3 linked regions of the Alligator mississippiensis genome follow. The protein of the gene in region 1 purifies or fractionates together with the protein of each later gene. This does not show direct contact. Links are inferred from orthologs where the notes say so. Each region holds a gene or a part of one and is shown in the gene's direction. Other genes may lie near its edges.

Region 1 (10,447 bases):
AGCAGTTCTGAACTTGGATTGTGAGATGTTTGACAGAGAATTTCCTGAATAGTAGGACAAGCCAAATGTCACCTTCAAAGCTATGGTATTTGAAGATTTCAGAGTGTATATTCCACAACTGATTAATGAACTCTGTCAAACCTTCAGGTATTAAATGGGCAACAGCATCAGTCACAAAAGAGTGAATGGGATGGGTAGAAAGACTGAGAGGACATACAGGAGCCCTGGAGGATTTTGAGAGAGGTACTTTCAGGTTTGCCTGAATAGAAAGGGCCCATTGTCAGAGGGATTCATGGAAATAGCATTACTAACCTCTTTAAAAAGAAAAACCCAGTAGGAGGGGCATGGGATAAGCTAGATAAGCTATGTAGGGGAGGGGAAAAACCTGACTTAATATAAAATCGAGATCAAGGTTACTCCTTCCAGGTGGGCAGGGAGGAAGGACAAAATGTTATATATTAGAAGGCCTTGGGGATTGACAGGAATTAAAATATATATTTTTAATTAAATAATTCAGAATTATCTAGCTATGCATACCATTAAAATACACAACCACATGATATTAATACTGTTAACCTCATCTTCCCTTCCCCCTCTTCCTTCCTATTGTCTGTTATACTTGTATCTTACATCTTGTCTTTGTGGGTGGGAACTACCCACTCTTATACTGGGTATCACAATGAGCCCTAAAGCTGACTACAACTTTTGGAAACTACCATAATGATAAAACAATATAGTGATAAGATAAAACCTGCTAGTGTTGAGATTTATATAATGAATTATTTATTTTCTTGGTGGTATTAGGCTATTTGAGAATATGGCACTCAAAAACCCTGCTGGGGTCTGGGGTCAGAGGGGTTAAACTTCCCTTCCCCTGAGTATGGAGCTGCCTTGCCTGTTTACTTAGTGCTGGTTGCAGCTGTGGACTACAAATCCCAGAGGTGCTTGGAAGCAGGAAGAAGAAGTGATGAGAAACCCTACAGAGTCCTGCTGCTTTGAGTCTGGACTGCAAATCCCAGAGACCTAAGGGGCAGCAGGAAAAGGAAGTGAACACACAGCCCATGCTGGCTATGTACCAGAGAGCTGTGCTCTAGCACTCTCCAGCTTCTGGGTTGAGCTGCTGCAGGCATATGGCTGCATTTTCTGATTCAAAAGTGAACGTTCATTTGCTTATTGGTTCAATCTTTGCAGTTTAGACTAACTTGCAAAGACTGAATCAATTCAGCTTTGGGCTTTTTGACTGTCTGTACTTAGCCCAAAAAGGGGTGGGCAAACTAGATTACATGTATTGAAGTTTATTTAGAGTTCCATTGTTGCAAGTAACTAGCTTATTTATTTATTTATTTCTAACTGGAGACATCCATAAAATGTAAGATTTTTCAGAAATCAGTTCCCTTTAGAATGCCCCAATATCACTAGACAGATTTAAAAATGTAGGCTAGATTTAGAACTTTTCCATTGTTACAGCATGGCTGTAATGGGCCTTAACTCACTTGGCACAGGAGGTTGAAAACATTGACTTACATAACAAATAAATCCATATAATTATTGTCTAAACCTTGTATTTAAAATTCGTCATTACTCAAATCTGGCATTGTCCACTACCAACGATCAGAATTTAGACCTCAATCCAAGGAGGTGCTGAAGTTAAGTCAGTAAAAAGTGAGTATTTTGTGCTTTATTGAGGTTGGGCCCTTTAGCAAAAGAAGTCATACATATAAACAGTGATAATTACAAAAAATTGTCTGAGCTTTTGCCATAATTTTTCCCCTAGAAAGTACCAATTTTAGACCAACTCTGATTTTGACAGTATTCCTGACTTAGTTCAAGAGCCTGACCTTCAGTATGACTGACCTTTTGTACTGCTACATAAGGTTTATGATTTTAAAAATGTTTCAGTAGTGTCTTTTTGTTAAGTACACCTGAATCAGTGATAGAAAGCACTGTTATGTAGTCTTAAACTACTGTGCTATTTATTAATTATTGAAAACAAAGTGCCTTCTCTGAGATCCAATTAATTTTTTTATTAATCAAAATGTCTTATTTGTAAAATATTAAAAGAAGTCTAGACACTAAATATTATTGTGCACTATATTTTTACATTTTCCAGTTTAATTTAAAACACACAAAAGAGGGGCCCCATAAAATGACCATCTAGAGACAGTTGATGGCAAGAATCCAGAAACGATTCTTAATGGGACGGAACTAGCATGAGATGAGATCATTCTTCAATTTGGAGGGGAAAAAAAGATGTTTTCAAGAAGAAATTTTTCAAAAGGATTACAAATTGTTGTTTCACAAACAATACAGAGGATCTGCGGTATACACTGTGTTTCAGATGAAGAGTGTGCCGATAAAGGAACCAATCAAAATCCTTTTATGATTAATGAGGAGAGGGAACTCATGATAGGAAAAGAGTCTCCTGAATTATAACTGAGTTGTTTGCTGTAGTTCCAAAGCATGAGTTCACTACAGTTTGTCTGGCAAGATTTTCTTCCTTGCATTAAGTTAGCATTAGCAGTGGAGAGTAAGTATAAAAACAGAGCAAAAACTGAGTCATGGACATGATGGAAAATTCAATCTTTTATAAGTATGGGAGCCAGCAGATTTAGTAAAAATTAAGTAACTCTCAAAATCTCCTTCTCAAATTGGGATTTTAATTAATGTTAGATTTGAGTTTGAACCTAGATTGATGAAGAAGACAAGCTGAATGGGAGCTACTACTGAGCTTTAAGCACCGTAATCTTAGTCTTTTTAAACACAGGTATCTAATAGACAACCGCCCTTTAACTCGAAAGGTCAACTTTGTATTTTGTTATGCGAATTACTTTTTCAGGTCTAAGATACCTGTTCTGAACCCCAAAGGAAAGTTGTCTCTCTTTCTCTTAATGTCAAAATGATAGTCTATATCCAAATATTTTAAGATCTTGGATACTGATACCTCTTCTCATGCATTCTCATCCAACCTCTAACCTTTCCAGATTGTCCAAAAAGTAACTCTTAAGATCATTTAATTGAGTGAAGCAAGGTCTTACATTCAACTTGTTGGCATTTATCTATCTTGTTACACAATGACTTCTGAACACTCCATCTCATTAAGTCCACAATTTGAGAAAATGTTCTAGTTCAAAGACATTGATTTCTATGTACATCAAAAAAACCAAAAAATCTTTAAAATCTTGAATGTGGGATGTATGCGACAGTAAGCTGGGGTGGGCAAAGTATGGCCCACAGGAGGGTGCCCAGATTGGATCCAGCCTGCGGCCGCTTCCACAGTACTCCACATGGGGCTGAGCCCTGCCAGGGGGCAGCCACCACTGGACTCCCACCTGTTCTTGCTGCGCCTGGCCAGAACTTGCAGCTTTCCGGCAGGTGGTGCTTGGCTCCCGCCAGCTCCAGTAGCTTTTCATCTTCCTGCCCCTGTTGCGCTGCTCCAGGTGAGTGGGAAGCTGCACCCAGGTGGCTCCTGCCCTAGCTGTAGCTCCAGGCTGCCTTCCACCCACTCTGCCTGCCTACCTACCTCTACCTGCATGATGAGCAGTCACCTGCAGGCAGCTGAGTGAGTGGAAGACATCTGGGAAGAGCTGGAGCCACCTGGTTGCAGTTTCCCTCCTGTCCAGAGTGGCGCTGCATGAGCAGGAAGAGGAGCAGCTGCTGGAGGTGTGGCGGTAGCTAAACACCACTCACCAGCAAGCTGTGCATGCTGGCTGGTACCCGGGCTGCAGTTAGCAGGTATGGGCTGCCCTGGGTGGGAGCGGGCGGGGGCTCGGACCTATGCAGTGTTGTGGGGGCAGCTGCAGGCCATACTGTCTGGGAAAGCTTTGCTTCATGCTGCCCTGTCCCATCCCTCTTTTCCCAGGCCAGCTCCTGGAATCTAGCACTCAGGCAGCCTCCCCTCTCCCCCACAATATGCCCACCCCACACCCTCCACTCACACCCCCTCCATCCCTGCCAATATACTAGAGTAAGACTTTATTTTGAGTTATGCAATCACCTCTATATACACTACTCAAAAAAACCAAGTCAGGACAAAAATTGTTGTTTTTTTTTAAAATAAAAATAGAATGTTACAGTAATGTTTGATTTTTTTTTTTTAGTGTATGATTTTATCTACAATTTGTTAAAATGATACCTTCTACAAATTTTGTGTGTGCGGCCCTCAACAGCTCACCAAAACTCATTTAAGTGGCCCTCCAGTTGAAATAATTGCCCACCCTGCACTAAGCACTAACATCCTTAACAGAGCCTGCAGCTTCAAACACATCTATAGATCATAGGTAAAAGATTTGGTTGAAAAGCAGTCGTAACAGGATGGATTGTTTCAAATCATGGTTTTTATCATGATTTGAATCAAAAACATGATAATTTCAGTCCTCTTTGCATTTGTACTCCTTAATTTCCTGAGGAAAGGTTAATTCTTGTTGATTTTTGTCCTGATATAGCTTTTACACTAAATTATGTCTGTATTTTTGCTAACCAAAAGGATCTATTATCTTTACACATAAGCAATTATATAGTTTAGTAGCTACTAATATTCATTTGGTTCATTATTTTAGGTTAGGAAACAATAAAGAGTGTAGGAGTTTAGGTTGTAGCCGTGTTGGTCGAAGGACATAGGCAGACAAGGTTCCTTGGGTGAATTTGATATCTTTTATTATACCAACCCAAATAGTTGGAGAATAGTTATTAAGCTGCTGAAACTTCCTTAGCCTGACGAAGTGTTTTTGAACCCGAAAGCTTGCTTAATAACTATTCTCCAACTATTTGGGTTGGTCTAATAAAAGATACCAAATTCACCCAAGGAATAAAGAGTGTAGGTCTTTTTAAATCCTGAATGTTTACAACTTGCAATTTGGATGGAATTGGGAATAAAATGCAGAGGAATAGCATTTTACTACTGTTTTTATTGGTTAAATAAATACACTTGAAGTGTGACAGACACAGAAGAAAAAAAGTTGCATATATTCACAGACATTAGGGCTGGAAGGGACCTTGGAAGATCATTGAGTCCAGCCCCCTCATTGAGTCCAGACATTTTAAACTAAATTTTAAGTTGACTTATGAAACAAACTAAGCATTCTATGTAGCTAGTGAACTGAATTATGTTGGGTCGACACGTGCGTCAAGATTTTGGAAGTAGATTTTAACCTCTTGTGTTTCCTAAGTATTGACTGATAGATCGGAAAAAGAAAATAAGCCTCTCGGCAACGACGAGCTGAAATGTTTCTCAACTATGAACAAAACTGAACAAAAGGAAGAGGATTCTTCTTTCTCCACCTACAACAGAGGGCCCAGATGTCTAAAGCTGCTTTTCCACTTTGCTTGAAAACTGGGTCCTGAGGCTTTGCTTGCGACTTCATCCCCGCTCAGTGGCTTGACAGACTTTAAAACTCGGTCGCAAAAACACAGCTTGAACGGTGGGTTTTTGAATCACGTTAAACGACAGGAAGGGGCAGCATCCAGAGGAGGCCTTCACAGAGGCTGTCCTAAGACCAGTTTTACTTTTAAATCACTTTTTGGGGGGTTTCTTTTTTAGCCCAGCGGTCTTCCATTTTATCACGGCCTCATTTTCCACCTGCCCCTCCTTCCCCCACGGCCACAGCCGGAAACCCGCTCATCTCGGTCCCGGGGGCCACGTGCCCGTAGCAGTTGCTGTCCATTCGAGGGCAAACCCCTTGGCCTGCAGGTGCTGGCAGCTGAGTTCTCCCTGCTGGTTGCCCTCGCCCTCTGCGCTGCGGGCGGGTACGCCTGCCCCAAGCCTGGCGGGTGGGGCGCCGGGTGAGACCCGGCCCCACGCGCCCACCACAGGAAACTACGGCCCGGCCCCACCCCACGCCGCCCACTTTGTGCTCCGAGGCGCGTCCCCCCGGCGAATGGGCGCGTCCCCCGTGCTCTGCGCAGACCCCTCCCGCCCGGGATGGTTTCTCCCGCCCCCAAGGCGCAGGAAGTTTCCGAGCCTAGACTCCGCCGCCGACAGGGAATCCCCCTCGCGCTCCTCTCGCGAGACGCACCATCTCCTCTTCCCTTCGGCGCCGGCATTCTCGCGAGACTCGGGCAGGTTCCCACGCCTGCTGCTGTTGTGTCTGACTGACACTGGGAGAGCCCGGCGCGCGGGGGGTGGTGCGCGCTCCGCGTGTGCGCTCTATGGGCCCACGCACGCGCGCTCTCCGGCAGGGCCGCCGCGCTCTCGCGAGACTAGGAGTTTTGGCGAGAGTTTGTGGAAGATGGCGCCTGTTGTGACAGGGTAAGTGCGGAGGCTTCGCCGCACCGCGCCGCCCGAGGCCCCCGCCCGTGCCCGCCGGGGCTCCACCGCCTGCCCCGCCCTCGCTCCCCGTTCCGCCCCGCTCCTCCCGGGCGGCTGGGCCCCTTCGGCCGCTTCCCCGGCGGGACGCCCCGGGCCGCGGCCCCGGGGGCCGAGAACCCCCCGGGCGGACGCCCCGGCCGAGGCGCCCCCTGCCCGAGGCCGCGCCCGCTCGCCCGGGAGCGCTCGGCCTGCGCCCGCCCCGTGCTGCTGGGGCAGCTCCGTGCCGGGACAGTGCCTGGCTCCATGCTGCCCTGAGGGCGCTTCTCTCTGGCTGCCGGCAGAGTCCCCCCCAAAGGCTCCCGGGCAATGTCCCGGGAGAAGTTGAGTCCCCCACGCACCGCAGCGTGGCTACGCGAGCGGCGTGGGGCTCGGCAGGGAGGGCACTGCTCCCTGGCGCGGGAAGCGAGATGTTCCTCTTCCCCTGCACCCCCGGGGCCCGGCTGCGGCTGCTGTCAGGGCCGCGCTGCAGCTCCCGCCCGCGCAGCACCCCTCGGCTCTCCCGCACGGTGTCCTTCCAGATGCCCCCTGCGGGCCAGGGAGAATGAGAGAGCGCGAGCCCCAACGTGCCGTGTCACCTGCTGTGTTACTGCTGAGTGTGGGCATCTTCTTGGTATCCCAAATTATCCTGAACCCTGCTTGCAGCCTGTTCCTAATCTTTAGTCTCGCTGGGTAGTTCCCCCCCCCCCCCCGGCCTGGTCCCTAAGGGGATTGGGGCTGCTAGGGCAGCAGTAGGCCTTGCCTCCTCCCCACCTGCTTGATTGAAACAAAATCCTGGTGGCTGAAAATAATTCTAGGCGTGGGGGGGAGGAGGGGGGTGTTTTTTGCACGTTTGGCTAAATATCCTGCCTTCACATCGCATCTGTGATTTTTTCTCCCCGTGGGATTACGTAGTCTCTAGGCTTGGCTCTGTGGTTATAGCACAGAGCCAAGCCTATTTGGGGGTGGGGTGGAGTTGGTGGTGGTTGCTTTTGTTCTTATGGAGGTGGCGGCATTATGGTATTTTCTTGTTTTGTTTTGGCCTTAGCACTTGTTAGTTTCTTGTTTCATGGTTGTCAAAAGCAAGCGTTAAACTGTTGCCTGATTTTATTCGAGTTCAAAAGGCACTTGCTGCTGTTGCTTATTTTGGCTGCTTAAACCTTCTTTAAAACAGCAAGTCTTGTGTGTTGCAATCTGTGGAGTACACTATTTAGAGTTCTAGAGTTGGGGGAGTAAGACATAATGGTGTTTCTAAAAGTTTGCCTTACATGGGTTGCATGTTAATTTTATTCCAGTTTCTGGTCACTTAATTGCCTCTGTGCTTGAGTTTTATTCGTTTTGCTTATTGATTGGGACAGAAATGTTCTCCGTGACATCCCATCTGTTTTTTCCAGGAGATGCATTTTAATTTTTGACTAATTAATGAACTTACGAATGAGAGAAACACACTAACAACAAAGGAATAGAAAATATGTTGTGTTTTAATGTAAGGGTGGAAGTTTCTCTGTGTTTCAATTCTAACAATACAACTATTGTTTAGCATTTTCAAATTGGTTAAATCCTGTAAAAAGAGAGGGAGGAGTCATAATTCTAACCTCAGATCTTGAATTAGTTAATCACCTAAAACATAGAGAACCTTGAAAAGATGTGCTAAAATGTATTAACGGGTATGGTTTTTATTTTATTCAGTGGTTTTGGGGGTTTTTTTGTGTTTTTAGTGTACTTAGGTTTTGGATTAGCAATGTGATACCCTGTTTTCTTTTAGTAACTGGCATTTTTCACAGTAGTAAAACCTCTCTTCATTCTAGTGTAGTTAATTTTCACTCACGATCTTAGAAAACAGGGTAGAAAACAGTTTAGAATTAAAAATAAAATAAATCTGTTAATGTAGTAACCAAGGGTTGCATGCTGTTTTTGTTGCTTGCATGCACTTTCTAGCAATCATGAAATTTCTAGATGAAGCGTATAAGTGATGCTTTGTAATTGCTGGGAGGTGAATGTTGGAATATTATCTTTTCATGAAAACTAGTTGTTAAAACTAAATTGCAGTACATAAGCCTGATAAACCTATTGTCTTGTTCCAGTAATCTGAAAGGACTAGTAACAGTAATACCTGGCTATAGAAGTTGTATTTCTGGCACTGTGACCTTCACCCAGTTTGCTGATGGAATATTCTTTTATCATAGGCTTACCTGTGTTGAAAAATGCATAGGTATACAGCTTTTATATAAGGCCCATGAGAGATTTAGATTTATTATGTATGATCCCAGCAGTCTTTCCTGCCCAAGTGCAGGGGGACTGGACCCAGTGATCTATAAGGTTCCTTCCAGCCCCTAACAACTCTGGAATTATGAACCCTTAAATCACCTTGTTATGGATCAGGACTCCATTGTACTCAGAACTGTGCAAACAGAACTATGTGAAGGTCCCTGCCCCAAAGAGCATGTTGTCTAAATATACGACAAGAAACCAAAAATTAATGTAGTCATATGGGGGGGGAGGGGGATATGGGGAGCTGGTGAGATGGCATTGGACAGAATGATAGGCAGCCTGTTGCTTATAGACAGTAAGGAAAAGGAGGGTTTTGGGGGAGCCTGATCAGGTTTGTAAATTTTGTGTGTAGCTGTTGGCGGCAGCATGGGAGAAATACAAAGGTACCTTTTTAAAATTTTAACAAGTGGGTAAAGAAGACTGGTATAATCAGCTGACTGGAGGTGAGGTTCTGTGTTTTAACAGTGAATGAAGGATAGTAAGGTGAAGATAGATTGTGAAGGGCCTCAAAATGCCCAGTGTTTGTTATGCAGTAGAAATAAGGAAGGTAGCTGGTATGTGATACAAATAGAGATGACAAAGTAGTGGCACAGGGAAATTACTTTTGCTTCAGCTTTCAGAATAAATATGTGCAGGCTTGCATTTGTCAAGACCAGTGTAAAGGATTTTGGAATAATTGTGATGCAAGAGAGCCTAGCTGTGTGATGCATACAAAAGCCAAGTTTTAAAAAGGAAGGCAGAAAGAATCATCAGGATCTGGACAGATAAAGGAGTCTCTATAGCAGAATCTAGGTAAGTCTGAACTGAGATTTGATTAGTGGTGGTGGTCAAGTGGAGAAAGGAAGAAACAGCTGGAGCTTCTGGTTGAAGATTAAGTGCTCTGCTTTGGCTATGTTGAGATTCAGCTGATGGCTCTTTTCCATAAAACTAGGTTGAGGTTTGAGTTTGGATAGGAGGCAGGTGTAGGCAGGGCAAGGTCTAAGTTTTCAGCCTAGATATTTTAGTTGAATTGTTTATACAGATTAAATTTCCCACAAATAAGGTGTAGAGGGAGAAGACAGTGGGATCAAGGGCAGAAAGTTGGAGGAGAGGCAGGAAGCCATGAAAAGACAGACTGAAGAATTGGATTGAGGATTAGGACCTGAAATAGATGGAATCACATAAGCCAAAAAGGATGGGAGTGGGAAGGACAGGATTTCCAGAGGAATATAACTGATTCTGTTTAAAGATAATTAGCTGGTCAAGCAGAATGAGTATAGAGTACTAATTCTGTACTTTGGCTATAGTCTTTGGTGAGTGGATTGTGGTGCTCAACAGGAGGAAGAAGAAATGAGGACATAGGGATGTTGTTGAAGGAGAGGAACTCTGGGGAGTAATTTCCTTATTAGCATAGTTTAAACATTATGGTTATTGCTACTTGAGTAATAGTATAACTATGAATATTATTGTACATGTGCACATAATGAGTTTTTCTAAACTCAAAGACAAATGAGCAAATGCTTTTGGCTCATGCAGCTTTAACTTCCAAGTCATTAGCATGGTGATTCTTAATGAGGGTGATGTGAGATTCTTTGGCTGTCATGGGGTGTGAAGACATAAGCAGATAAGTAAAGGCTCAAGGTGCAGTTACTGGGCAGCCAGTGGTCCTGGGCCAGAAGCCCTGGCTGGGGGGTCGGGGCCGGGGGGGCCCTGCTGTTGTGGGAGCCCACTGGGCTTCCCCTGGGTCCTTTTGCCCTTGGTTCCTAGGAACCAAGGGCAAATGAATATTAATTTTCTAAACTTTTAGGGGCCCCACAGGCTGGATAGAATGGCCTTGCCACCCCTGATTTAGATATTCTAAAGTGTGCTTAATATAAACATCATAAATAATGTGGTCTGTCCAACTGTTACATCGTT
Region 2 (10,370 bases), on another chromosome or scaffold:
TATAACTAGTGGATTTTTGATTTTTTTTTTGTTTTGTTTTTTTACAAATATGGAGATTCTTAAACTTACCAATGTCTGTATTTCCCTAAATTTGATAATCATTTTTGAGCAAAGGTGGTTAGTGTGGCTGTATAGCTTTCTTACCCTCATAAAGATACTGTGGTGAGAGGGAGGTTAAATCTATGTACATATGTAACCAACCAAACTGTGTTTATACTCCAGCTTTTTGGGGGGTTGAGGGGGGGGGGAAAAAAGCATAATTGTCCCACAAAATAAAGATGCTCCCTATGGCTGCTGTCTGTTTAGCTGTTCATAGTCGGCCTAGAAGGTGAGGGTGGGTCCCTTAATATGGTACTTTATCCTGCAGGCCTCACAGAGGCTGGATGTCTGGTTTCTTTAGTCCTTGCGGGGTTTCTTTCTCAATAGGGCTGTTCTTTTTACTACGTTTCCTTCCTTCTGTCCAGCCTCTCACCCCAGCTTTCTCTGCTACTGTGCAGCTTGGCTTCCATTGCTGAACAGTAATTCATGCTCAGCTCCTCAAACTTTTTCTTTTTAAGCTAGGCTCACTCCTTTCCAGGATCCAAACGCTGGATAGGACAGTGTCCCTAATCGTTATTGTTGTCACTGTGTAAACTCCTGCGGACAGGAAGGTGGCCGCAGAAGGCAGGTTGGACTAAAGTCTTTTATTAAAAGCAAGAATTACAGTATTTTGTAGATGGAAGAAGGAGCATGTGGAATGACTGGTGTGTGTAGCTGTTTAAGTCTCTTATCTGCTCTTCATGTAACAGTTGCATCCTAAATTATATTGTGAATGTAGGGCGTTCCAATTCCAGCTAAATAAATTTTTTAAACGCGTTGTGTCTATTATACTATATATTTCTATTTGTTTCCTGTGGAATACATGGGAGCAGAGCATACCTCCTAAGACCAATACCTTTTTATTACTCTTTACCAAAATATACTGGGAAGATGGAAGGTTAGATGTCTTACTGAGACTTTGCTTCTGCCTTTTGGTTAGAATAGTTAAGTGTCCTAACTCCTATTCTATTCTCCTTGCTTTGAATATAAACACTCCAATGTTTCCATTGGGTGGGAGGGTAACTGGGTGTGTTGTAGAGAAGAATTAATGATGAGGAAAACATCTTTGTAGTAAAGATTAATGCAGAATAACTTGCATTTAAAAAGAAAAGCTTTTGCTGCCTGTATTCTGTGGCTGTTGAGCTGAAATATCAGTGACATGAATGCATGTCAGGGTTTCTTGAAGTGTCTGCAATGTACAAATAAAACACTGTAACCAAGATGCTGAAATCCAAATTTTATTTCCAGTCTGGGACCATTGGCTTGTAGAATCCATATTTCTCCCCAATACCTGGTTATATGTTGCTTTTACCTCCAAAATGGCTTGCTTATACCTCAGCACTGGAGTATGTTATGATTTAAGTGTTGCTGTTGTTTTGTTCTCAAGATAGTAGCTTATTTTTATAAAGTTGGTTAATGACTTTCTATTCCTACCCAAATGGGCTGGCCAGCTTTTATAGATGGCCGTAGGTTAGCTGCTTTCTTGAGCACAGCACGGGTCTTTCTTTTTTTCTAAATGATTTGATCTATATGCATATTGCCTTAACTTCATTACCTTTTTCACTTTCTGTACACACAATTCCAAAATACTCTTAACACAATTCTCATGTGCTGCTTAAAACAGCAGCTATGAAATAATACTGCATTTAAAGCTGATTCTAAAATGTTTTGCTTCAACTAGATCTCCTGAAATAAGTCTTGTCTGCATGTCTTGGCTTTCTTTTGATACTGTAATATGACACTTGAATAGTCACTACAATAAATGGTGACTTCACAATGCATTTAGAAAAACTTAAGTTTGAAAGATGACTTTGTCCTGGGTTTTAATTCTAGGTTACAGTTTAACAGGTTGTCACGTTTAACTGTCAGTTTTGAGTAAGGAAGAAGACATCCATATATAGTAAGGGTAGCCATGTTCCCTAAATACTGCAAGTCCGGTTATGATGTAAAGCAAAAGTTGGTCTGCATATAAGACTGAATTCAGTCTTAATTCTGTTGGACAGCGTTCTGTTAGCAAAATATTGACAGTGGATGTTGGTGTCTGTTTTTACTTGGCATTTTTTTTGCCTTCTAGAATAAGTATGGGGGTGCTGTAAACTAGCTCTTACAGAATTATGATCAGTAAAAGAGGTGATAGAAATATAGCAAACTTACTAACCTGGTAAGAAATATGTAAATTGGTCTTTCAGACTAGTTATGTTAATTCACTGGATAACCAAATAGAAAGTGCATTGTTAATGTCTAAATTTTTGGATTTCTGGGTTGGAGGGGGATGTTCTTACGGAAGTATTCACTACTGGTAAAGGTATTCTGTCTCCTCTACGTATTGCTCCACTTAATCTGTGGCAGCAAACTTGGTGCTAGTGACCAGTTTCTCCTCACCCCTCTGCCTTCCTCTAATACGTTGTTTCTAAATGCCAGTATTGCCTCGATGGTTTTCAGAAGCAAAATCCTCAAGTGTTACTAAAAAAGAACTGTGACTTCTCACAGAAAAGACCTTGTCTATTCATTTAAAAAAGTTAATTGTAGATGCAGTATGCATATATAAATATTGGATAAATTATAATGTAAGTTTACTCTGATTAATAAAGAAACTTAAATCTATTCAGATTTGCTTTGTCTACCTGGCTACTAAAACATCTAAAAGCTTTTTTGTCTTTTACCTCTCAGCATGAAGGTGGTGAAAGTGGTAGCACTCAAGTGGAATGCACTGTAGGTTCAGTCTGTGGCTTCTTTCTTTTCTTTTTTTAAGAGGGGTTTCTAGAAGAAGGCAGCAATTAAGGAGAAAAAACTTTTTGTTAAACTTTAAGTAGATTTTTTTTGTGCCCTCACCTACCACAAAAGTAACGCTTGATTTAAGGTAAAAGTTCACAAACCTTCATGTTTCACTTAATTTTAAAGTATGAGCACTCCATGGCATCTGTCTGCTGCTTTCACAGCTAAAAAACTGTGAATGCTAAATAATGTATCTGTTAAATTGACACTTTGAGCTACAAAGACTAATACTTTTTCCTTTAAGAGGAGAGAAACCTAAAGTCCTTTCAGTGTGTATTTTTAAAATTAGCTGATGCCAACACCAAAGAGCAGAGGAAGTCAAGGGAAAGTTATTTTTAAAAATAGGGTTTTTAGAGAGATCAAGTATTGGTGGTAGGCCCCTTCCAGGTGTTGACTTGTGGCTCAGCTCCCCAAGTAGATGAACGCTGGCTTTCATAGCCACTCTGCAGTCTCACTTATGCTAATTTGTAGTGGGGTATGGACTGGATATGAAACCCTTGATCTGGAGAGTAAGGTTGTTCTACTGTCTCCACTTACATGGTTCTAACCTACATGGTAGCTCTTGCTCATGATTTGGTGGTAAACTTAGGTCCCTGTTGCACATTTACATGTATTATGCAATTAACTGGTCAATTTTGCAACTAATTTAAACTAGCTGCAGGTATAAAGTAATTATCGCATGATAAAATGACTAGCTATAAAGTTTAGTGCTTGAAAAATGTAACAACTCTCTAGCTGGTTTCTATCCAGCTTTTATTTTGAAGGTATAGCAGGGCCCTTGGTTAATATGAATGCAGCAATGTTGTATTTGACAAACTGCTTTAATCTAGGAATGTTCTGAGGAAGAGCTGGGTGAAGAGAGCAGGTGGTGAGAGACTTGGACTTAGTCCTGATTTTTCCCTTCGGGTGGGTTTGCAATATGCCCTATTGTAGCTCAGACTTCCATACCATTCTTTTAGTTCTGCTGTCAGGTTGACAATGACTTAAATGGGTTTGAACTAATGAAAAGTTACAGAAACTTGGCCACTTTATAGTGTTTCATATTTTATAACTGGACTTTTTTTTTCTCACTTGCTCAACTGTGCTGATGCACAGTCTTTGGGCGGTCTGTCCCGAAGGGGTCGGAGAGGTCTAAGAATAGTCATTGCTGCTGTACTTGGAACCCAACATTTTACTTCCCTGTGAGCTGAGTCAGCAAGAGCTGCTGGCTGGTCACACCCTTCTTAACAGATGGGTGAGCAGCAGCTGTGGTGGTGGGAGTTGATCAAACGACTGGAATTTTTGTCCTCCTTTTTGGTGGCTCTTAAAACAAAATTAAAAATTGCAGTATGAACCCTAAATCAGTATAAAAGTTCTGGTAACTGGGTGCTTAATGCATACTTGATATGCAGCTCAGTTTATTTAAGCATTCCTGACTCAGCTTTTTTTTTTTTTTTAGCTCTGTTGGCTGCTACTCCTGCCACTTTGCACAAAACAGGCTCTAAAAGAGGGAATCTGTGGAGTTTGCTTGTACTTTAGTCTGTACCATGGCTCCTTTTCAAAGCCAGGTAACTTTCCCATTTATACTTTCCCAAAGAATGGTACAAAGTCACTTTTTCTTAGCAGACCTGACGACTATTCCAAAACTGCTCGACTGAAGTACTTGTGACCTGTGCCAAGAACGCTTGACGGTAAATACCCATATAAAAAGCTACCACTAGGGCACAGCAAAGGATGCACGAACCTGCCAACTGCTCTCGTGCCTCCTGGGCGTTGCGTTAAAATGGGTGTGAGCGCAATGACTCGATGCAGGAAGCGCTTGAGTCTAGATCTCTCCCAGGGCCTGCGTTCTCCCATGTCACAGTCACTCCTGGCTCATCCAGGAGGTGTAGGCCTAGCCCTTGAAGGAAGATGCAGTTCTTCTTTCTTGCCTCTGTAAAATGAGCAGCTTCCCAGTTTAAAGCTAAAAACAAGCTTTAGTTCAGTACTCCCCTTGCCTGGGCCTGGGGCAGGGGGGTGGATTGCTTCAATCTTTCCCTGACTGGAAAAGGAGGATGAATGCTTTCAGGACCCCTAGTAAAGAGATCATCTTTTATTAGACCAACACTCTGCAAATAAACCCCCAAAATCTTTAATTGCAAGGATCATGGCTTTGCTTTTATTAGAGCAAGATTTTGCAAAAAAAACAACCCCCCCCAAATTTTAATTACAAGGAACAAGGCTCGTGTTCTTTTCTGGGGGGAGGGGGAAGCCTTGATCCTTGCAATTAAAATGTATGTTTGTTTGCTTGCTAAATTTTGCTCTAATAAAAGTCAACCCTAACCTTTAACTGTAAGGAATGCTTTGCTTTCCTTTGTGTTAGGGTTTCTTATTATTTTCCTCCCCAGGGACGCGGCTCGCACTCGTTACAGACTTCATTTACAGCCAGGCTCCACTTCTGCTCCCCTCTCCCCGTGCACCCTAGCTGTCAATCACCCCTCACCTCGCCACGCCGGCCTCCGCATTGGCCGCTCGCGCTCCGCCCCGCCCCTTCCTCCACTATGCCTTTTAAACGGTCTCCGGCGACCCTCCTGGCGGAAGCGACGCCCCTTTTTCCGCTCCGTCGCCCTCTCATTGGCTCCGCCCGCTGCCCATCCGTCGCTGTGACGCGCACCTCCCCCCCACCCAGGAAGCCCCGCCCCCACCGCCTGAACTCGGCTCTTGAGGGGAAAAACAATTTCAAGATGGCGGCGGCGCGGACAACAATGGGGCGCTGGGGGGCCCGCGCCTGAGGCCGGCGGGGGAGGAGGCGGCGCGGCGGCCCGGCCATGGCGGGCTCGGGGTGAGGAGCCGGCGGGCGCGCGGCCCATGGTGCTGCCCCCCTGCCCCATGGCGGAGTTCGTGGTGCCGCGGCACAGCGCCGTGATGGAGCGGCTGCGCCGGCGCATCGAGCTGTGCCGGCGGCACCACAGCGCCTGCGAGTCGCGCTACCAGGCCGTGTCCCCCGAGCGCCTGGAGCTGGAGCGCCAGCAGACCTTCGCCCTGCACCAGCGCTGCCTGCAAGCCAAGGCCAAGCGCGCCGGCAAGCACCGCCAGCCGCCGCCGCCGCCACCGCCGCCTCCCCCGGCCGCCGAGCGGCCCGGCGCCAACGGCCTGGACAGCGACGCGGCCAGCGGCGAGCAGCAGCACGGCCGCAGCACCACCTTGATCGCGGTACGCGCGGGGCGGGGCGGGGCCGGGCCGCAGGGGAGGAGGAGAGCGAGGGCAGGCCAGGCCAGGCCAGGCCGTGCCGTGCCGTGCCCAGCTGGCAGCCGCTCCGCTTCCCCGGGCACCCATGGACGGAGCGCGGGGAGGGCTGCCGCCGCCTCGCCAGGTACCGCCGCCTCGCCCTTTGTCCCGGGAGCCTTGTCAGCCTGGCCGGGAAGGGCTGCCCGCCACCCCGCTCGCGAGCCGGGCGTGCGGGCGGCTCCGCAGACGGGCTGAACTCCCTTTCTTCGGGCGACTTGGGGTCCGGCTCCTCGGTTGCTGGGAGGAGGAGGAGGATCAGCACCATGAGGGCATGAAGCAGGCGCCCAGGTTTTACCTCGCGGCTGCAAGGAATCGGTTTATTAGCTCTTTGTCCAAAAAAAGAAAAAAAAAATTAATCGCAAGCTTTCGGGAAGCAAGGGAACGTATTTCTGTGAAACGCCGCTCTCACGATGGGGTCGTCAGTAAAAGTGCACTTGCTGGCTTCCTGGCGGCAGTCAGGTTTGAGTAAGGAATGCGACATACGTTTGTACCTGTTTAAGTTGCAGGCATCTTGAAACCATATCCTCTTGGTCCTGCCTCGATTGGCGTCATACCTCAGCGCGGTAGTCACGGTCGGGTTTGTTTTTTTTTGAAGTGGCCTTTTGGTTCGCAGGTGAATTCTTTGCAAGTAGAGTCTAATACGATTGAAATATCGATATGATGCTCAGCGCTTAAAATAACCCTTAGACCTTTTATGCAGCCTATAGTGAAGTTGCGAAGGGGAGCGCAGCGCCTGCTCTGGACGTGTGGATCTGGAGCAAAGAAAAAAAGAAAGGCATGATTCTCATTTTTATAGTTTGTTTAATAATTTATACCGATGTAAAAGGGATGTGAAATGCCACCAAATCTGAAGTTTCCACTTGCAACCAATAAGTGTTTTATGCATGCTTTGAGGTTGCAATGTGAACAGCAGTGCATTGTTTTTCTTTGTAGGTATTTGAACTTACCTCCAATAAAAAGCTTTGGGTGGTTGTATGCATGTTGCTTCTGAAGGATAAAACGCTTGTGATGATATGAAATCTAGTTCGGTGTCAAAAGGGAAACTCCTTGAAGAGAGGGGAAGGTACAGCTTGTATTGTTCCCCTCTCAAGTTTTTCAGGTTAGCTTCAGTTAGGCTGAATATACAGGCCTGAAATACAGATTTTTGGCTGAACACACAAGACCTGCACTTCTTTTGTACTGTTCGAGAAATGATAAGGCTTATGCTTGCTTGCGACTAGGCTATAAAGGATTCTCGTGTGGCTCATTGAGTTCATTAGGTAACAGATGGAGTACCTGTTTTTAAACACATTTGAATCCACTGGCTTAGACTTTATAGGGAAGTGTGTGCTGAAAAGTCTCTGAAAGAAGTTGCTTCTAATTCATTGCTGGCACTTCTTTTCAGTTGTTGTGGATGTGGATTTGATCTCATTAGCTTGCATTATAATGAGGACTCTAAATTTCCCCCACAATCATTGTGTGGTTTTGAAGTTCGCTGCACATCTGGGGAAACCCTTCTTGTACAGGAAGCTGCTGCTAGCAGCCAATTTACACAACAGAGGAGGGTTTTAGTGTATGAATGACTCTTCCGCGTGCAGGCCTGTTGTTTCCTTCCTAGGATACATGACTGTAAGTTGAATTGCTGCTGATTCATCATCTTGTTACTTGGTTGTAAAAGTTAAGTCGCATGGCAAACAACTTAAAATAAGGAATATGTAAGGTACCCAAAGGACCTTGTCTGCTCTGATGTGTTACGAGGATTCAGTTTTTTGGGTGTTTTTAAGTTCTTTAGAATATACTTTAATAGTGAGCTTTGTATTTCACCACAAACAGTTAAATTACAATTATCAAGACAGCACATCCCATGGCAATTTATTTTATGGAACACTCACTAAATCTTTTGGTTCATAACATTTTGTTTTAAAATACTCAGAGCGTGTGTACTTTAAAATAGTGCTGTTGGAGCAATTAATAGAGCAATAAAACAGCCAGCACTGTTTATGCTGAGTTTATGCAGAGCTTCATTGGTACAAGCTCCATGGAAACACCTTACAGAAAGTACCTCCTCTTTTTGTGTCTTATTATGTGGGGTTTTTTAATTATTATTATTGATTCCCTCAAAGGACAAAAGTCAGAGTCAAGTGCTTTATCTATTAGTCATTTATCTGCTCTAGATCCTGAAATTGCAGCAGACGTGGAGCACAAATATGAGCATGGGTCACCTTCATCCATTGTCTGCTTGCCAGCTAAGGAGAGCTAGTGCACAGATCAGGAGGAATATATAGTTACAAAAGAAATATACTTCTGGATGGTGTGTGCCACTTTTCCTGTATTTGGAAGAAAACAGTTGAATCGCTATTTCCCCTTTTCCTTAACTTGCAACTATTTTTAAAAATTTAAAAGTTTCCTTTAAATTGATTGTTCATATTTTAATTCCAGACTTAACTCTTTCCCACTTTATGAAGGAAGTTAAAGAGAGGAGATTGTCACCAGGGTCAGAAAGATGCTTAGAGAAATAGCAAGTAGAAAAAGAAAGGCTTAAAACACACCTCTTCCTCCTGTTCCAACTGCTGGTCCAGGGCTCCTGTTTTTACTTTTTCCAGTGCTTTGTTTAAATACCCAAGTAGCAGGGTTTTCTTCTGTTTTCTAGGGTAGACTATCCCATAGCATTTTTCTTTCACTATTGGTATTTTTCTGGCACAGCTGAGAGTGAAATTTACAGGGTTTTGTATTTATGTGCGTTTATAATGTATATAATTTCAAAACAATGCAAAAATGTATGTGTCCTGACTTTAAGATCTAGAACAACGACAGAAAGCAAATGACACCTTTCAGGATTGGATTAGCAAGATTTATTATTCAAGAAACAAAGCTTTACCTGGTAGCATGTCAGTTTGACTTACCTAAAACCTTTTTTCTGTTAGCTGCGGAAGCCAATCCACATTTCTGATCTCCAGGTATCTATTTCCTGACATGAAAGACAATAACTATATGAAGATTTTTTTTGTAGTAAGTCTACTGTAACAGTGCAATGTAGTCTTGCCATCCTTGTTCATTTTTGTTGAACATTAGCTTGTTGCCCAACAACTCAGATGGGTTTCCTTTTTGTCTCCTTTTTTGGTCCAAGGTATTTCTGCATTCTTGAAGCCTTTCCCTTTATTGGATTGGTAAGACCTGTAGTGGTGTTTCCTAAATTCGAAAGAACTGGGAGTGATCATCAGTGCTGCTATGTAGTTCAGCTGAGGTGGAGGAGCCAGCATTACTGCTTAAGAAGCACACTTTTTTGATTCAGCAGAAGCAGTCTCTCCTGACCAGTGCCAGCAGTGATATTTATAGATACACAGATCTGGAGCCCTTTTTCACTCTACAACTTGTTGCCTCCCAACTACTGAACAGAAGTTTCCTGGAATTAAAGTAAACATCCAATTGAAAATAGATGAGTGCATTTAATTCAGACAGCTGTGCACAGAGCTTCAAATGTGAAAATGCATTTAGTAACAAGATGCTGCCCTTGCAGGGTGAATATTATGAAAGCTGTTTGTATTTTAGCACTCAGAGTAGGAAATAGGGTGTTATCTGTTCAAAAAGTGATTTTTCTTGAGTGTTTGTACCCTCTGACACTTGCATCTCTCTTCCAGCTCAGAAAGATCTTCTTGGGCAGTTTAGCCCTGGGCGAGTCAGTGGTTCTTAGCACAATGGAGCTGTGGCCTCAGCAGGCGCTTCTAGGTACTACTAGAATAGTACTGCTACTCATGAGAATATTCATCTTAAAAAGGTGGTTCTAACATTTGTTTCCTGCCAAGAGGTGAACACAGATTTCTTTGACTGTGGAGCAGATGTTATTAACTTCTCTACTGTTGGGGAAATTATGTTGTATGTCATTATATCTTCATACTTACAGCAAGCTATTTTCCATATTACTTTTTTTTTTTTTTTTTTTTTTTTTTTTACATTTGATATTTCACAACAGGTGCTTGGAACGTAACTTAATTCCATAGCTGAAACAATAAACATGTAGTTTGTACAGAAAAAGTTAAAGGGATACTATTAACAATTAATTAAAAACAAGGTTAAGCACAGCTGAAATATTGCATCTTGGACTTTTTTTTTTTTAAAGGGGCTTTTTCTCTCTCTTTTAAAAGTTGTTTTTTTGTAGGGGGGTTTAGCAAGGATGAAACTGACTACAGGTGTGTTAACCCCCCCCCCCCCCAAAAAAAAAAAAAAAAAACAACTAAAAACCCCACAGATAGCAGAAAAATAAATCCTTACCCACCTCAGAAAGGTGGTGAGCC
Region 3 (10,585 bases), on another chromosome or scaffold:
TAGAATCACAGAAAATTCAGGTGGGAAGGGACCTCAGGAGGTCACATCTAATCCAGCCCCTTGCTCAAGGCAGGACCAGCCCAAAATAGATCATCCCAGCCAAAGCTTTGTCTACCTGGATCTTTAAAACCTCCAAGGATGGAGACTGCACCACCTCTCTGGGCAGCCTGTTCTACTGCCTCGCCATCCTCCTCCTGAGAAAGTTTTTTTCTAGTATTTTTTTCCTAGATCACACATCGTAGAGAGGTAAGGCTGGAAAGGCTCTCGAGGTCAGTCGGCAGGCTGGTTGCAAGTAGCCGGTGTCAGCTACGGACGCTCAGGATCTATTGCAAACACATGCATTTCCATGAGGGGTTTCAGCTGGAGACGCACATGTTGCTGCTCTGGTTACAGCCAACGAGAATCTGTAAGGACACACATTGCCAGGTCAGGTCTAGGCACCCAAACCCCAGGAATACGCATGAAAATGCTGAGAAGGGCCTTTGGAGCAGCTGAAGCTTCATGTAGGGCCAATGTGTTTATATTCTAGGCCAGGGGTTGTCAACAGGTGTACCTCCGGGGGTACCTGAGAAGGCCCTAGGGGGTACAGGCAGGCGGGGACGGAGTGCTGCCATCCTGTGCAGATGCCGCCTGTCCGGCTGGACACAGGGGAAGCTCAATTTAAGAGAGGCACACAAAACCACCCATATTTCAACAGGCAGCAGACCTATGCTGTAATTTTCTCTGTATTATAAGCTCCTTCCTTTCTTTTTCAAGCTTAAGCTCTAAGTGATGCAAGGGCTACAAATCCATGTCATTGACAATGAACAGTAGCACCAGAGCCTTGAAATCCAGACTAGAGATCCTGCTCACTATAAGAATGAAGGAGAAACAACACAGACTGACTCAGAGTGCATTGTAAAGTCTGTATAAATAGCTCTTCTCCCAAACTCCCTGGATACTCACCTCAGCCAATAAATTGCTCTTCACTGAATCATGCTTTCGGCAGAAGCCGCTTTCTTGAGAGCATAGCAACTTATTGTAAACATTGTGTTTGCCTGACTGTCCCTCATAGGTGTCACTTACGCTAGGGAATTGGAAGCATTTGGCTTGCTTGTAGTTATGCATTTTGTGCTGTCAGCCTCCATCATTTCTTATAACCTGTGCAGAACTGGGCTAGGTCAGTACTCAGATCAGGGACACCTGCGGAGCACGCAAGCCTGGCATAATGGGGCTGGCAGTTCGGTAGATGGCAGGTGCTGTTCAGTGAGCTTGCCATGACCAAATGCCTGCCCCAGCCTATTCCAAAAGAGGTGCTGTTTCTCTTTCAGGCAAGTCACACTGACTACTAGGGGCTGCCACAGTTAAGACCAGTCTGTATGGGCTGAAGTGAAACCAGTGTCTAGGCCCAATTTCAGTCTGCTTTCCTAATTTGCTTGCTTTGCGCTCTAGGACAAAAGCACTGCAGTGCTAGGGCAGGATAAGGTCCTACATCCAGGGAGTATGCAGTGGTCAGCAGTGCTACTCCATCAATGGAAGGATAGTTTTGGCTGGTTGACAGAACTGAAGCAGTCTGCACCACTCCTGGATCCAACTAGCCCGGGTGCTTTACCGTGTGGCTACACTACTCCCTATTCAGGAGGTAGCTTTTGGCACCCTCTTGATCTAGAACCAGCATGGCCACATTCATGCAGCGGCAGACAGCTGTGCATGACATCCTTTTAGCAGATGCAGCAGGATGCTGCCTTGCCTTGTGGGTACATTTTGGGGTGAGTGATCCCCACAAAACAATACTTAATGATGTGGGAAGAATCCAGGATTCAGGCTTTTGCCACAAGCTTAATTTTTTACTACACATGATTTTTGTTACTGATAATCCTTTTTGGTTATTTGTCTAGCTTGACGGCATCAAAAACCTGTCCTAGCATCTCTGTCCTTTGCCATCAATAAAATAATCGTACCACAAAGATTGAGTCAGCAACAGCTCCTCACCCCGAGCCTAGAAAATCATTAACCAAAGATGATATCAACCCAATCAATATCCCCCAGGCACACTGCTTTCTTTCTGAAGGGCCTGATTCAGATTCCACTGGTATCAGCTGAGATACACCTATTGACTTAAATGGGCTTTAGACTGCACTCTTTAGCCTTGGGCTACCAGCTATAGAGGATCATGAGAAGTGTTAAACGCTACAAGCCCTTACTGCTTCTGTTTTCCAGACAGATAAAGCCAAGGGAGCTTATATTTACTCTACTTCCCTCTGACAATGCTAAGGTGGTTGTAAGATTTTGAACAGTCTCTTGGAAGAGTTTAAATGAACACAACCAGAGAGGGCTAGCAATCACATTTGTAGACCAGTGCTGGGAACACAGCCCTGGGTAGAGGGCAGGGAGTGGGGGGTCTGATTTTGCACAATGTTAAATGTCTTCTAGTCCCAGTGAAGTGCACATGGACTCGATTACTCGGTTCCTCACAGGATCAGGCCCTTTAAGCTCCAAAACCTGGTATAGCTTCTGTGCTGCCTGCCTAGGGGGCATAACATAACTCAAAGGCCCTCCTAGGTCTCTATTTGATGTTGCTCTTATCAGACAAGACTTTCCAGCGAGGGCTTGCAATTCAGGTACGATGAGGCTAAAATTGTCTTGACCTTTTAATCAGCCAACTTACGGTATTGATGAATGTCACTCATGGCTTCTCAAAAGGAAAACCCACATGCTATATCACCTGTATTTGTGACTATGACTTGCGACTTCAGATCAACTCTTTGGATTCATTTTAACTGGATGTATTCATTTGCTTAAGAGTTTAAAAGTGTCCAGAAATCCATTTCTCCTAGCAGTGTGAGAAAGCAAACATTCAGACAGCAATGGGAACGTAACCAGGCAGCATAAAAACAGTCTCCTCCCTCCACTTCAAAGCCCTTATTTCCCCACCATCAGAGGATGCTGAATGCGATTAGTATGATTTGCCAGCAGATGGCAGGTCTCTACAAACTCCACCTTTAAGAAGCAGCTGAATGCTCAGCCGTCTCCACAAAATGCATCTCCAATCAACTCCCTTGCTGATACCTGCTGCTGCGCTACTAGGTCTGCTCTGGTCCCCGTCCTCTGGGCTCTCAGACATGCCTAGTACTCTCGGTGCTATTCTTGTGCTCCTCTGGGATGAGGGACCAATGAAGCCATCTAGCTACCGGGAGGGGAAGGAGACTGCGGAGCAAAGCTACCTGCATCTCTTTTCATCAGGATCCAGTGATGCCATCCATCAAAGAGGAGCTTCCTGCAAATCTCAGCAGGGTTCAAAATAGCTGTGAATGCCTTCAGCTGTACACACAGATATTGGAGGGAAGAGGCAGCCAGATACTATGGCATCTAAGACAGAAGGCAGGGGAAGAGGGCAGGGTGACCTGACCTCCTCTATTTGGTTCTGGGCCCATTGCCCACACTGACCTCGCCAGGCAGCTTGGCAGGGTGGAGAGGAAAAGGGTACAGCATTCATTCATAGGGAGCTCAGCTCCAGGTGCAACCTGAGGCTGCTTCTACCCATTTCCACTGTTGTTCTAGAGAAGGAAAAGAATGCGTGGCCTGGACCGTAAACAGGCCTTAAGCCCACAGCATTTTCTCCCTGAAACTCAGATTAAGGACACGAAGGGCTTCCACCAATGCTATTCTATGTGGGTCTTGATCCCCTCACTTTGCCTTTGCCTCCACCCAGATCCCTTAAACCAGGATGAAGGAGGGCAGCTTCACTATCCAAATATTTCAGGCACAGGACCTCTTCTAATGACTAAGGGAAACCTCAAAAGCCACCTAAGTGACCTGGGAACCTAGGTCCCATTTTCCAGGTGACTTAGGCACTCACACACCTATGTCACGTTGACCAAGATGCTTCTGAAAATGGAACATTGGCAACAAAGTCACTCAAGCATTTTGGAAAACATTACCCTAAAACTCATACAACCAACAACCCTAAGACTCATACATGCTTGGTGGGGGGGATGTATTTATATCCTTAGGCAAATCCTGGCTCTTGTGTCTGCAGATGTGTGCCTTGGTGACGTAGGGCACCAGACGACCTGGGTTCTCCAAGCGCCAGCACCCATGGGAAATGGAGGTGGTTCCAGACAGATCAGGGATCTGCCTTGGTGTGGACACTGATGTCCTGAGCAATCTCGGAGGAGAGGCATCATTGCCACCCTCTGGCTTGACTCAAGACTCAAAACAGCATGAGCACTTACGTTCTCCTGTTTGGGGGATTTTCCACTCTCCCAGCCTGCAGAAGAGTTTGGAGTAAACAGGATTTGTCCAGGATACAGATAGTCTTGTGTTCATCCCAGATAAGATCTGTTCAGACTGCACCGAACCACCCTCCTCATTTTAAAGGACCAGAAATTCACACGAGTTGTGAACTGAAGGTTAAGAAAACTTCGTAACATTTCTCACCACAAATAAGACACACCAATCATGTTACCAGTAACATATTATAAGGATTAAATACAGAAAGGAGGAGCAAAGGAAACATGAACACCGCCCCCCCAGTAATATGTTCACATTAGAAACAGCACTGGAGAAGACTCACGCTACATCTTCCCTTCCTTCCTATCTGGGCGGGATTGCAGTGGTGGCTGGAGTGAAGGTTACACCCATGTTTCCATTCAAATCTGCTTTCCCCTGGTGATTAGCTGCTAGCTCTACAGCCATTTGGGTTGGCATCAGCAGGTCCGGGGCAAACAACCCAGGCAACTGCCCAGGGGAGGCCCCCCTTGCCTAAGTTAGGGCACATCTACATAGATGTTAGGGCTGGAAGGGACCTTATGAGATAGGTGGGTGCAGCCCCCTGTCCAAAGGGGCAGGCAGTCAGCTGGGGTCAGATCGCCCAAAAGCGTTCGTTCGTTGGCAGTCCCTTGAAGTCAAGGATGACATCCGTCAGGCTTGATGGGTCCTCAGGTGACTGAGGGGACCGATTCTGGATGCACATATACTTCGGCGACGGGGGCATGTTGTTGCGTGTGGGAGCGGGATCCGCAGCCCCAGGGTGGTCTCCTTCTCCTTCCTCCGCCACCGCCGTTCCGCCTCAGTATCGAGTCATTGGGCTTCGAAGCGTGCGCCAGGACCTTCGTCGACTTCCGAAGGACTCTCTTTCCAAAGACACATTGTCGCAGGTTGAAGAAGGTGGCACTGGCACGGTGCTGGACTTCTTCATCACCGAGATACGGAAAGCGCTCCACGTACTCCAGAGCAGCAGTGCAACATCAGCGCACGAGTAGGACGTGGAGGGGTCCAGGCTTCAGAGTCCAAGGCCGGCTCTGGCTGAGGGGGTCCCGGGTTGGTTTCTTCCCAAAGAAGCGATGGCTCTTCCCAAGGCTCAGCTTCCTGCAGGCTGGAGAAATCCAGAGGGTTTCTGAGGGGGGAAATCCCTGAGGACACACAGACTGGCTTGCCCCCTAGCAGAGGGTGGGGATCAACGCTGTCCTGTGGAGATGCTCCCTTGTTTCGAAGGGAGGGGACTCGGGCAGGGCTCCTATCCATCCCCAGGCCAGGCCAGGCCAAGCCTCTGCAAAGGTGAGGCAGGTGGCCTCCATCTCCTTCCCTCCAGAACGGCCCCTCCCCACTCGCTCGCCGTAGCTGACCTTCCCAACATGGCCCATTGTGGCGGCAGAAGGCCCTCTCTAGCCTCAACGGACCTTCTCAACATGGCCGCCTAACTCGGCCCTCCCCAACATGGCACTCGGCCTCACGTGACTCCGCCCGCCCCGCGTCATGTGACCAGCCCCGGCAGGCGCCTGCGCAGTGCGTCGCCTCCTTCCGGCCGGAGCCGCCGAGGCAAGATGGCGGCGGCCCGGGGCAGCCTGCGCTGAGCGCGGGGCGGGGAGGTGAGTCCCGGCGCGGGGGGCAGGCCCGGCTCCGTCTCCTGGGGAACCGGGCCGGGAGTAGGGCCCCGGGGTGGGGGCACGGCTAGCTGCCTCCTGGCCTGTGTCCCCGGGGCCCCTGCCTGCAAGGGGAGGCCTGGCTGGATGCCACCCACCTCCCCCCCAGCCTGGCTGAGGGGTGGTTTGGGGCCTGGCTCAGCACCGCCTGCCTTCTCCTCATCTTCCCCGCTCCGGTTTCTTGTCTTTTTTTCCAGGAGAGGTAAAAAAAAAAAGCAACCCTTCATCTGCCCCCTCTGCCATGCCCCTGGCTGGCGGGTGGGCTGCTTTTGGGGGCAAGGAGAGGCTTTGGGAGGCTGGCTGCCACCCCCAGGTGCGTCCCCGTCTTCCCCGGGGCACCGGCGGGCTCCTCTCTGCCAAGGGGAGACTCCGGTCCCCACCTGCCGTCTCCTTGGCTGCCGGACGTGCTGCCGAGCCGGCTTTTTTTGGGGAAAAAAAGGCTCCCCCGGCCTCCTCTTCCGTTTTCGTGCTCGTCCGACGTGCCCGCCGGGTCTCTCTTTGCGAGGAGAGGGGCTCTGCCGCCTCTGGCATTTGGTCTCGTGAAAGATAACATCGCCCCTGCCGTGATTTCGGATGCCGTCTGCTTCCTCTGTCCTATTCCCCTTTTTGGAAAGGGGGGTTTTGGGGGAGGTATGGCTTGACACGCACAATTCGGGCATGTTCCTGGCTGTCTGACCCTCCGATGGGGTTCGTTTTGTTGTTTTGTGTTTTAAATGAGAGGTTTTGGGAGGTCTGGCTTGATGCCGCCTACCTCCTCTGCCACTTTCCTGGCTATCTGACCCCCCGATGGGCTTCTTTTTGGAAAGAGAGGGTTTAATAGGCATGGCTTGGTGCCGGCTGCCTCCTCTGATGTTTTCCTGGCTAGTTGATGGGTTTGCTTTGGTTTTTTTGGCAGTGTCCACATTAAACCGAAAAGCATTGCTGCCGCGGGGTGGTCTTAGTGCGTGGGTCGTAGGTTTCTAGGGTCGGAAGGGACCTATTCGATCCCCCAGCTCTGGGCAGGAAAAAGCGCCGGGGTCTGATTTGTGAGGATCCCCTTGTAAGCAGCCTGCCACCCGAGTCTCTCGAGACCGAGGTGTTTTGGGCTAAACGCCTTCATTAGCAATCCTTGAAGATTCGGTGTTGCTGTTTTCTTAAAATGCTTCTGAGGCTGAGGGGGGAGCTGTGCGCCGCTGCGTGCCTTAAACTCCGTAATTTGCAGTTTTGGAGGAGTTGGGGAAAAGTCATGGGAAGCCTTGTTAAAATTTTGTGGCTGGACTGCATGGTACTGGTGCATTACCTGCAGCTGCTTTCTGTTTGTGAGCAAACCCAATGATCAGACTCCTGCTGCGAGGCTGGCTTAATCCCCATTGATTGATGGGGATGTTATTTGCATTAAAATGATTTTAATTATTGTAGTGACACCTGTTTACGCCTCGGCCATTATGTAGTAGAGCTTTCACCAATGAACTGCTGTTTGCTAGGGCAGAAGGAACAGGCAGCTCTGATAAAGGAGCTGTGTGTTACTTCACTGGAGATGCTGCTGACCTGCATCCTAAATCTAAGAGGAGCATTGCTTATCTTTTAAGAGCTGCCCTGTCACTGAACGGCATCGGGATCCTGGAGAGATGACATGTGATGATGCAGTGCCCTGTGCATTGTGAGATCACATCTAGATGGCTGCTGCAATATCACAGTGCAGTGATGTAATCAGGCTGGAGAAAGCTTTACCTAATGTCTCCTAGTCGGAGCGTCAAACTGGCTAGCCTGATGTTGGCTGAATTAGTAGGGGAGACTCACTGTTGTGATTCAGGGGCAATGCAACACTAGTTCTGGACTTACCCCAAATCCCTGCATCAGACAAGGGCAGATATTGGGGTTCTTAGTAGGGTTTTGTCCCTGGAGCTCCATCCTTTGCCATTCGCTAGCACATAATAGAGCCTTGTCTACATGCTGGATTTCTGCCTACCTGGCTGTGTTGGTCAGAGGTGTGGTGAGGTGTGATCCTTGACTGATGCAGCTTTGCTTGCAAAAGCCCCTTATTGTGATGAAGTCACCCCCACAGAACAACCACCTTGCCAATATAGCACGTTTCATTTTAGGGGTGTGAGCAAGTGGGGCTGGAATAAACTGTACAGGGAAAAGCACAGCTTTGCCAGTATAAGCTGAAATTGCAGCAGTAGCACTTGCCAGCGTAGCAACGCACTGAGGGGAGACATGTGATGGGAAAGAATGTGTTGTTTCCTCTTCCTCGGGGCTCATTTCTTTGGGGGTCACTACACCACCCCAGGCCCTGGCTGTGGCCAGAGGCATTCTTCACTGTTCTGTCTTTTCCCTGGCCTCTCTTCTATTGCTGTCTTTCTGTCTTCGTCATTGATTCTCCCTCAAAAATAACACTAGTGCACAGTCTTGCGAGACACCCCCCCCCCCCAACTTTTTGCAAGAAACAGTGATCTAAAGTACCAGAGACGTGTCTGAATATCTGTTTCACTTGACTGTTTGGTACAGTGGGGAAATGGGTGGACACACAAAAGTTGCCAAAGCATGAGTCGAAAGGACTGTGTTTTGTCAGTAGGGAGTGTATGAAAGCTTATCGTGGCAACCTTAGGAGCTAGAAAATTGATTTTAAAGCTGCAACTTAGGTTCTGCAGAATCTGCTGGTGTAGATCCTTATCTGTGCCCAGTCGGATTTTCCGCTTGACACAGACCAGGTTTCATGTGGATTTTGCATGCTTTGAATACGTGACAGTATCCTCTCTCTGTCCTGGCTTCTGCAGGGAGGGCACTTTGCTTCTCACCCCCTTGTATTGTCAGGGGAGCCTCCCTGTTACTCCCTGCCTCGTATTCCTCTCTGTTACCAAGAGGAGGGTTCATTTGGCAGTCTTTGCACTAGTCTCTGAAAACAGTCTGGCTTTGTATTTAAGTTTATAATTTCTTTCCATATGTTTAATGGAAAGAGGGATGTGAATTGTCATTTGCATGGTTGAGGTCCCCTTTCAGCAGGGGGGAGAAAAGGCCTCATATCAGCTCGTTCCCAGCATATGAATTGTGTTTTAAATGGGTGTTTTCACAGCCTCAGTAAACTTGCACTGTAATCTTTTTCAGTAGTTGCCAATTTTTGCGGGCTTTCCACAGCGTGTGACTGAGAACTGTTTAAAAGGTTATCACTGTGCGTGTAAACAAACCGGTGTGAAGTTAGTCACCCCCTCCCCTCGTGTTTGCTTCAAGAAAAATGTCCTAAGATATAAATCAGTGTCTTGTTCAAGCAGTTCCTTGATGTTGATAAGCACCAGTGACTTTGCATTTTAAAAGCCAAAAAGTATATCAATATCATACCGGAGATCAGTGAGTGTTTTTTTAAAAAAAAGTTGTGGTCTAATGCTGTCTTTTGGCTCTGAGAGTTGGTCCAAGTCCAGATAAAAGGGTTTTTGGAACAGAAACCCACTGGCTCTGATAATGTACACTTAATGGATGATTGTGCACACACAAATTTGTTTTCGGAGTGTGATTTCTCTCTCCAGTGTGATTAGATTCAACTTGGATATCTGGGTTCAGGACCTCCAGTGATGTCTGTTTGGGTTTAGCTGTACTATATTGACTTTAAATGGAGTTGTATGGTATATCAGAGAGAGAGAGAGAAAATTCATTCCTCTTCCTTGCATATTTAATTTTATGTGTGCAAAAGTTGTATGTGGGTGTGGGAAAAAATTTAGTGATATACCAGGGACAGTAAACTGACTGTTCTGCAAGGTGGAGAAAATCTGGCCCCTGCCCACAGAAGCATACACTGATGGCACTTGCAAATGTATATCTTGGAGCTTAAATTCATTCACACTTGGTCATGCTTTGTGGTATGCCTTCTTTCTTAATATTCTGGAAAACTTGGGTACATCTGCTCACCTGTATGGTAGCTAAATACTCTACTGAAATATATGTAAATTAAAATAAAAACATGACTTATTCTCCTGGCTCACTTCCTTCGTCCAAATGTGATTTCTTCTGCAGATGGCTTATATCACTTTGCATGCCTTGGACTCATTTTACAATATTAATCTGATTTATTTCATCTTGTGAAGTGGGCAAGTCCATTCCTAATGTTACTCAAATTCAGTTTTTCTTTCCTTGCTGATAAGACCGTCATGTTGGATTTTTTTGGTGTTGGGTGTTTGTTTGCTTTTGTTGTTGTTTCGGAACTGCACTCCTTCCTGCCTCTGATCTCACTGAATCTAACAAGATTTGTAGCGTTAAGCTAGCCGGTGCTGTGATAGGATGCTTCGAAGGGCAGCGCAAAGTTCAGTGGTTTTTGGTGACATGGAGCGAAAGGTGCTTCTTGCTGAGTCAGTAGCAAAATCATGCCAGAGCTGGTTAGAGTTACTGAGTTGCTCAAATGGCCGAGTATGGGAAGAGATGTAAGAGTAAGGTCTTGTCACTAGTTATCACAAATCCTGTTGTCCTAGCAGAATTGAATTTTGCTCCGTGTATTATGCCTACGTAGGCAGAATTCTACTGAGTTAGAGCTCTTTCCTTTCCTGGCACAGATGGGTATAGGGTCATATATAATTTGCAAAGGGATGTAGGATTTGTCAGGTTAAAAGGCACTTCATAAATATAACGTTTTTTGCGTGAAAGGTAAAGATTCCTTATCAAATCTTTCTAACTTGGAGACAGTACAGAGCACCTGTTAATTTTTGCATCTTTACTGC

The links. The genes of interacting proteins can lie anywhere in the genome.
Region 2: the proteins of RBPJ (region 1) and MAML1 purify together in Homo sapiens (co-immunoprecipitation; 12 studies listed by BioGRID and IntAct, counting the BioPlex papers as one, with this or other methods). This does not show direct contact. The link is inferred for Alligator mississippiensis from reciprocal best matches to the Homo sapiens genes RBPJ and MAML1.
Region 3: the proteins of RBPJ (region 1) and FBXO42 purify together in Homo sapiens (affinity purification with mass spectrometry; 3 studies listed by BioGRID and IntAct, counting the BioPlex papers as one, with this or other methods). This does not show direct contact. The link is inferred for Alligator mississippiensis from reciprocal best matches to the Homo sapiens genes RBPJ and FBXO42.

Annotation. Positions count from the first base shown.
Region 1 is NC_081825.1:39,902,081-39,912,527, forward strand, and holds the start of RBPJ (recombining binding protein suppressor of hairless), read left to right. Parts: upstream 1-6,146; 5' UTR 6,147-6,224; coding exon of another isoform or gene 6,225-6,244; intron 6,245-10,447. UniProt on the Homo sapiens protein: Transcriptional regulator that plays a central role in Notch signaling, a signaling pathway involved in cell-cell communication that regulates a broad spectrum of cell-fate determinations.
Region 2 is NC_081832.1:74,542,145-74,552,514, forward strand, and holds the start of MAML1 (mastermind-like protein 1), read left to right. Parts: upstream 1-5,540; 5' UTR 5,541-5,679; coding exon 5,680-6,024; intron 6,025-6,130; exon of another isoform or gene 6,131-6,145; coding exon of another isoform or gene 6,146-6,184; intron 6,185-6,402; exon of another isoform or gene 6,403-6,851; intron 6,852-10,351; exon of another isoform or gene 10,352-10,370. UniProt on the Homo sapiens protein: Acts as a transcriptional coactivator for NOTCH proteins. Has been shown to amplify NOTCH-induced transcription of HES1. Enhances phosphorylation and proteolytic turnover of the NOTCH intracellular domain in the nucleus through interaction with CDK8.
Region 3 is NC_081836.1:3,382,007-3,392,591, reverse strand, and holds the start of FBXO42 (F-box only protein 42), read left to right. Parts: upstream 1-5,755; 5' UTR 5,756-5,849; intron 5,850-10,585. UniProt on the Homo sapiens protein: Substrate-recognition component of some SCF (SKP1-CUL1-F-box protein)-type E3 ubiquitin ligase complex. Specifically recognizes p53/TP53, promoting its ubiquitination and degradation.